2 linked regions of the Ovis aries genome follow. The protein of the gene in region 2 purifies or fractionates together with the protein of the main gene of each other region. This does not show direct contact. Links are inferred from orthologs where the notes say so. Each region holds a gene or a part of one and is shown on either strand. Other genes may lie near its edges. The genes, in order: MDC1 and WRAP53.

The links.
Region 1: the proteins of WRAP53 (region 2) and MDC1 purify together in Homo sapiens (affinity purification with western blotting, with the first as the bait; 3 studies listed by BioGRID). This does not show direct contact. The link is inferred for Ovis aries from reciprocal best matches to the Homo sapiens genes WRAP53 and MDC1.

Annotation. Positions count from the first base shown.
Region 1 is NC_056073.1:27,424,005-27,427,814, reverse strand, and holds part of MDC1 (mediator of DNA damage checkpoint protein 1), read right to left. Parts: coding exon 3,806-3,810; intron 3,721-3,805; coding exon 3,651-3,720; intron 3,361-3,650; coding exon 1,940-3,360; intron 1,151-1,939; coding exon 1,085-1,150; intron 920-1,084; coding exon 827-919; intron 71-826; coding exon 1-70. UniProt on the Homo sapiens protein: Histone reader protein required for checkpoint-mediated cell cycle arrest in response to DNA damage within both the S phase and G2/M phases of the cell cycle.
Region 2 is NC_056064.1:27,214,936-27,218,745, reverse strand, and holds part of WRAP53 (telomerase Cajal body protein 1), read right to left. Parts: intron 1,047-3,810; coding exon 958-1,046; intron 757-957; coding exon 666-756; intron 559-665; coding exon 426-558; intron 1-425. UniProt on the Homo sapiens protein: RNA chaperone that plays a key role in telomere maintenance and RNA localization to Cajal bodies. Specifically recognizes and binds the Cajal body box (CAB box) present in both small Cajal body RNAs (scaRNAs) and telomerase RNA template component (TERC).

The sequences.
Region 1 (3,810 bases), on a different chromosome or scaffold from region 2:
TCGGAGGCCTCAGATTCTCTCGGACAGAATGGCTGTGTCGCCAACGCCTCCCATGACTCATCCAAGGAACCTGGAAGCAGAGTCAGAGAGAGAGGGATGTAGGTTGAAGAGGTAACAGCTTGAGAAAAGATTAAGACAAATTCATGCATAATAAATTTAAGTGAGTTATTAAAGGAAAGCTGGGAATAAGGAAGAGAGCCATAACATTTCACTGGTGGTCCAGTGGCTAAGACTCTGAGCTCCCAATGTAGGAGGACCAGGTTTGATCCCCGGTCAGGGAACTAGATCCGACATGCTGCAAGTAAAGAGTCCTCATGCTGCAACTAAAGACCCTGTGTGCCACCACTAAGACCCCGTGCAACCAAATACATAAATTAAAATAAGCTAGTTGCTAGAGTAGTTGCTCTCTGGGTCTGACTTAATGTAGCATTCTTTTCTGCTTAGATGGAGGAACATCAGCAAAAAAATGTCAAAGGCTATAAAGACAGGCTTTGGAAGGAATGATGCTAAAGCTGAGACTCCAGTACTTTGGCCACCTCATGCGAAGAGTTGACTCATTGGAAAAGACTCTGATGCTGGGAGGGATTGGGGGCAGGAGGAGAAGGGGACGACAGAGGATGAGATGGCTGGATGGCATCACTGACTCGATGGACGTGAGTCTGAGTGAACTCCGGGAGTTGGTGATGGACAGGGAGGCCTAGCGTGCTGCGATTCATGGGGTCGCAAAGAGTTGGACATGACTGAGTGACTGAACTGAACTGAACTGGACAGAGGGGAAATAAGGATGCCAAGTTAAGGGCACAGAAGAGGCGTGAGTTTCTCATACCTGTGGCCTGGGAGCTGCAACAGGAAGGGCCAGGCTCTTGGGGCAGAGGAAACAGGAAGGCCTGGGTGGGCTCATCCTCCATGCTGGGGGCTGCTACACAAAAAAGCATGGCCTGAGCACTGCTCCTCCACAGAACTCTGAGGGCCCATTCCCAGTCTTCTCTGCTGCCTATGCCAGCCTTCACATCCTTCAAGGACCACCAATCTAATCTCCCAGCTCCTGCTTGTACCAGTATCCACACAACAAAGATGGCCTCACCTTCCAGGCTCTGATTCTTTCTGTCTACAAAGCACTGGGTAGCTGGTAGGTCCAGATCTTCAGAATCTGGTGGGGAGGAATGCAGGATAATTAAAAAACCAGAGCTGATCCTAACTCCTTTTCTCTATAGTTCTCTCCACAGCCCCAATCCTATGCAATAGCCTGAATCTGTGTCTCCCCAAATATTCTTATGTTGAAACCTAATTTCCAATGTGAGGGCATTAGGAGGTGACTGGGAGGTGACTAGGTCATGAGGGCGCAGCCTGCATGAATGGTATTAGTGCAGGCTCAGCCGTGGCTCAGTGATAAAGAATCTGCCTGCCAATGCAGAAGACACAGGTTCAAGCCCTGATCCAGGAAGATCCCACATGCCCTGGAGCAACTAAGCCTGTGTGCCACAACTACTGAGCCTGAGCTCTAGAGCCCATACTCAACAAGAGAAACCACTGCAATGAGAAGTCAGTGTACTACAACTAGAGAGTAGCCTTGGCTCCACATAACTAGAGAAAAGCCAGCGCAGCAAGGAAGACCCAGCACAGCCAAAAATAAATAAAGTCATTTAGAAAAAATGAGAGAAAGACTCCAGAGAGCTCCCTTGGGCCCTTTTGCCATATGAAGACATAACGAGAAGACGGCTATCTGTAAGAAGCAGGGCCTCATCAGACACTGAATTTGCTGGTATCTTGATCTTAGACTTCCCAGCATTTAGAACTGTGAAAAATAAACTTCTGTTGTTTTATAAGCTACCTAGTCTATGGTCTTTTGTTATAGCAGCTCACATGAACTAAGATACGCTAGAAGCAAGAAGCATTCTTTATCGCAGACCTCCAGGGAGGAAGAAAGGCCAGCACTTACCGTGGAGGTTGTCTCCAGAGTCTGTGGCCCTATTCCCATATGGTTCTCTCTCCCTTCCTGTGGTGGTCTGGGCCCCCTCTCTCTGCGGTTGGGGCTCCCCTGGAGTGCCTATGTCCACCACCATATCTGCTAGGTCTTCCCTTGAGACCGGGAGAAGGTCTTGCTCCCCTGGTGCCGTGGATGACCCACCCTGGGTCCCGATGGCAAGTGCTCTGTCCTGTTCAGGAACGGCTGCAGCCCACGTGGTCCCAGCATCTTTTTCCGCCGGAAGCTGGCTCTTTCTGACAGCAGATGTGTTCTCCGAATCCAGTTCACAGTCCCCAGCTAGAGGAGGCCGGGCTTCCTCTAGACGCAGCACGGGGAGCTGTGCCGGGTCCCCTTCTGCCTCCGCATCGGTGTGATGTGGCCACACTATGCCTTGTACCTGACGCTTCTCCGGAAGTGCAACAGCTGGCCCCAGTGGGACCTCATCCTCCACTTGTGCAGAGGCCTGGCTTCTCTCCAGGTGGACCCCCGGTGAGCTCTCATCTTCCTTCCCCTCTGTATCACTGTCCCTGGGAAGGTGCTGGCTCTTTTTTGAATATTCCCTGTCCATGTAACCCTTGGGAACCATTCCCCTCCTTTCCACTGGGAGCCCCTCTTCCTCCACATCTGTGTCACTGTCTCCCCCAGCAGAGGCCTGGCTTCGCTCCAGAAGGGCCACGGGTTGGGCCCTGGTCTCTTCTGCATCTGGATCTCGGTTCCACTTACCAGCCTGGCTCTCTCTTAGACATGCCAGTGTCAGTGCTGCTGAGACTTCTTCCTCATCGTCTGTATTGCTGTCGATCACCACGGAGGCTTGGCTTCTGTCTGGGGGGGCCTCCCCCTCCTCTATATCTGTATCACCATCAGCTGGGCTCCCCTGCCAACGTGCCACACCAGGTGCCTGGGGGCTCTGTGTACCAGCTTCGTGGAAGATCTGCCTCTCCTTCATGGGAACCACTGCTGGGGTAGCAGGGATCCCCTCGTCCTCTCCATCGGTATCACTGTCTATGAAGTTACAAGACCAGGCCCTTTTCGGACGGACCCCAACAAGCCTTCTTCGAGGCCCACTCTCATCACTCACATCTGTGTCACTGTCCTCCCCAGAAGGCTGGCTCCTCTCCAGAATCACTCCAGTCGGAACCACCCCATTCCTCACATCCCTCTCGATTTCTGTGTCCCCGTTCCTCTCCTTCACGGAACACTGATCCTTCTCAATCTGGATCTCGGCTGTGACAGGTTCAGGCTGTTCCGTCTCTGCAGCGGTACCTCTTCTGGCAGCTGAAGAGGCCTCCCCTGCTCCTGATTCCTGACTTTCTTCCTCATCCGTGTCGCTGTTCAAGTTGAAGGCAGAAGGTGGCCCGGGCCCATCTGGGGCAGGGGAAGGCCCTTCTTCATCACTGTGAAGGGAAGAGAAGAAACCTATAGAATCGATTGCCCCAGAAGGGATATTCCACTCAAGTAGGAACTCCTTGAGAGCAGACGCAAGGTAGTACTTGCTGTTCTGTCTCCAACAATTAATTCTCTAGTTGGCACATGAGACGCTCAGTAAAAATTCAGTTGAGTGAAGGAGTATGTGTGGTTCCCCAGCCCAGACTTTGATGGTAATTAGCTCTCCCAGAGATGGCTCCTCCAGCCCCTGCTTCCTCATCCATCTGAAGACTCAGATGCCTGGCCCTTTGACACTCACCTCTCTGGAACGACTGTTGCCGAAGAGGAGGTCCTTGGTCCTTTCACCACACACTTGTCCAAAAGGGAATCTGTCATGAGTAGAAATGAGTAAGTGGAGAGTTTTACACTCACCGTCCCTGTCTCCTCACCCACCCTCCTGATACACAAACTTACCTACT
Region 2 (3,810 bases):
ATGCAGGATCTTAGTTCCCTGACTGGGATCAAACCTGTGCCCCCTGCAGTGGAAGTGCAGTCTTAACCCCTGGACTGCCAGGGAAGTCCCCTCAATTTTTCCTTGGAAGGGTCAGAAAGCTAAGACTTATAGGCAAACGGAATCAGCTTCTCCAGTTTCTTGGAAAAACTAAAACTTTGGGAACCAAGAGGTAAAGTACCAGCAGGGGAGGGGCTCAGGAGTGAACCAACTCTTGACTAGAGTTTGATCTTGGGAAAGTTTTATGCCCTCCGTGAGTCTGCTTTCTCCTCTATCTACTGGGTACAACCTCCCAGGGCTGTGAGGGTAACAACCCCTCAACCCCCTACCTCCGCACATGACCACAGGGCCCCTCTGCTCTTGGCTGGGCCCCTTTCTCTCCTCCCTTGGAGGTGTAGACTGCTTACCAAACGTGGTTCGGACCTCGCAGTCTCGGCCGGGCCGGGATGTGGAGAAGACACGCACAGTCCGGTTAAAGCCACAGAAGAGCTGGGAGCCATCCGGGGAGAAGCAGAGCGAGTGGGCTGCTGTCAGCTCATCCTGGGGGAAGGGAAGGGCTGGAAACAGGCCTGGCGCACAGCCTCTTCCTTCTCCAGGAAGGAGAGCTAGGCCAGGGCAAGCCCTGGGGCTAGGCAGAGAGTCCCTACCAGGTGATTGTAGGAGCGAAAGGAAGCCCGGAGCTCTCCGGTGAAGGCGTCCCAGATGTGAATTGGGTTCTCCCTGCTGCTGCTGGCCACGCTGAGAGAGACATGGACACCGAGGCCCCGGTGCTGTCAAAGGAAGGGGAGGAAGCCAACTGACCAGCCCTCTCAGCTCACATCTGAAGGTCAAAGCAAGCTTCCCTCCTCCTGAGACCCCCACAGCCCCTGGCTGTCTCTCAGCAGAGGGTCCCCTTAAAATGGGGGTGGGGAGGGAAAGCAGGCAAAAGACATCACTTACTAGGAGGTGTCTGGCTGAGCTGAAGACATCAGGGAATACCAGCAGTAGTCATAGATGGTGTCGCCTTCCACCATTCGAAGGACAGGGGCCTAGACAGAGATGAGGAGATGCCTGGGTCACTGGTAGGACAAGGAGGCCCACTCGGACCTGGAGCAGGTTTATGGCAGCGGGAGACGCTCTGTGGGCACTTAACCAGGCAGGGGAAGGCACATCAGGCAAATACAAGAACAAGATCTTGATCTTCCAATTCAAGGCTAGCTCAGACTTTCACATCAGACTTGGGCCACTAAATGCCATACAGATTTATCCTTTTGCTTTGTCAACACTTAGAGAAACAAATAATACCCCAACCCAGAGACAAAGAACCAGCCAATGATGCAAATACCCACCAAGCCACCTACCAGGTGCCATTGGATCCTTTACAAAAGTTATCGACCAGTTCAAACAAGCAAAGAAGTATTAAAACAAAGCCAAACCAAACCCTGTGAGGCCTCCACTCAGCTTAAGAAACAAAATGTTTTACCAAACAGTTAAAAACCTCTTCCCAATGAAATCCTCCTTTAGAGGGAAACACTATCCTTAATTTATCATTCTTGTATATTTCTTTAGGAATATATTCATAGAGGAAAGACAATATATAGCATGGTCTTGCTTGCCTTTAAACTTAATATGAATGGTACCACGCTACATGCGTCCCATCGTGATTATGAGATTTATGGTGACAAACTTAGCTTGAATTCACGCATTTTCCCTGCTTCACAGCACTCCATTCACGCATCGTTCTCTATTGACAGTCACTGATGTTTTTCCAGTTTCTGGCAAGTGCACTTTAACAATCTGGTACACATGTGGGAGGGATTCTCTGCAGTTTCTGCTACTGAGGGAAACCACTGGGCTCCATAGTATGTGCTCTGCCAACTCTACGAGATCGTGTCACTTTTTTTTTCCAAAAGTGCTCATCCCAATTTATTCTCCCCGCAGCGGCATGTAGGAGCACCCATTGCTCTGCCTCCTCTTGCTGTTGCCAGACTCCCATATTTTTCTCAATTTGAAGGCTGTGAAATGGTATTTCATTACAATATAAACTGGCATCTCTCATTACCAGTAAAGGCACTTTTCCTTCTAAGGGCACCTTCTCATAGTTTTTGCTCAGTTTTCTCCTTGGTTGTTGTCTTCGACTTACTGACTTAAAGGAAATCTTCACATCAGCAGGATACGAGTCCTTTGTCCCTTACTTGCTGGCCCTTGGGGTGATGTCACCCAGCTGTGACTGCAGGTCCACATCTCCACTCTTAACCCTTGCATCTGACTGCCTGGAGGAAAGTTCCATTAGGGCATCGCACAGGCTCCTCAACTCAGTTTAGCCGGGACAGACCCAGCCTCTGCTGCCTCTGAATCTGCTGCTCCTCCTGGGCTCTGCACCCGGTTCTCAAGGCTGAAGTCTGAGCACCCTGACTACTACTCTCTTCATGCCCTTTCCTCTCCTGGTCCAATCCAAGGCCAGAGCTTGCCAATTCCACCTCCTAGGTTCACTTGAACATGTCTCCTTACCTCTGATTCCACGTGTAGCCACTACCTTCTTGCCAGCCCTGGCCTCCCTCCTCCCCATACTCTAACCTGCCACTCAATTTTCCATTCTTCAGCCACACTGAGGCCCTGGACTCATGTACCGCATCATTCTCCTGCTCAAAGCATTGCAATGCTTCTCCATAACCCTCAGTATAAAACCCAATCTTCTAGGAAGACTTCCCTTACCAGGCATCTACCCCACACCCACCTCTCCAGGCTCATCCCTCACCCCTGCCTTCTTTCCTGTAACATCTCCACACTCCACCATCCTGATTCCCAGCTCTGAGAAGATGCCAACTCACTGCATTCCTGGGCTGCAGGCTTTCACACACACTAGACTCCAAGTCTGGAACAGCCTTCCCTCATTTCCCCCAACAACTCTTCCTGGTCAAATCCTAGCCATCCTTTGGGTCTCTCAGATACTTGTCCCCATGGGAAGCCTCCTCCTGAACCACGTTCCAAATGCCTTCTGTGTCTCCACTCTGCAAAAGGCAGGAATCATGTCTGTCTTACTTACCACTGCTTCCCCAACACCTACTGAGGAATCAGCACAATCAGCAGTCAAATGTTTTAATGGGCAAATGGAAACAGAAGACTGTCCCAATAACATAAGGCCCAAAATAATAGCACCTTGAATTAAAACAGAGTGAACTGGATAAATTAGAAAGATCAGGCGGACTTGATGGGATTTGGTAATTAATTGGATGTGGGGGTTAGGAGAGGGGGATTAAAGGATGAGACCCTGCTTTCTCGTTTGGATACCTAAGGTCACCAAGATGGTACAAAGACATGGCATGCAGAAGAGAGCTGAGGTGCCAAGGTACTCAGCAAGTCAGGGAGAATCAGACAGCCTAAGCCACAAAGGAACAGTTTTTACAAAGCAGAAAAGCAATTGTCTGGATATAGCATTTGAGAATGAGGACACCCCCTCCCCAACCCGAGATATGTAGGACACAGAGGTTGCACAGTCTCCCCTAGAGAAGGTACAGGAAAGGGAAGGCCTCAGGCAAGAGCCACAGGGTAGGCAGAGTATTCAGGGAAGAGGGGGGGACATAGAAATAGGAGTTCCAGAAAGCTCTGTGAAAAGGTAGAAAAAGGAGGAGAGGAGTTGGGAAACTGTGTTGAGAAGAAGCAGTACACAGATGCACAAAAATACCCCCAAACCGTCCCCCACTTTCCCCACCTAAATAAATGTTATCCATTTCCATACCAAACTTTCAGACGTTAAAAATGAAAATACCATGCCTCAAGGCCAAAACACCAAAACATGAAACAGAAACAATA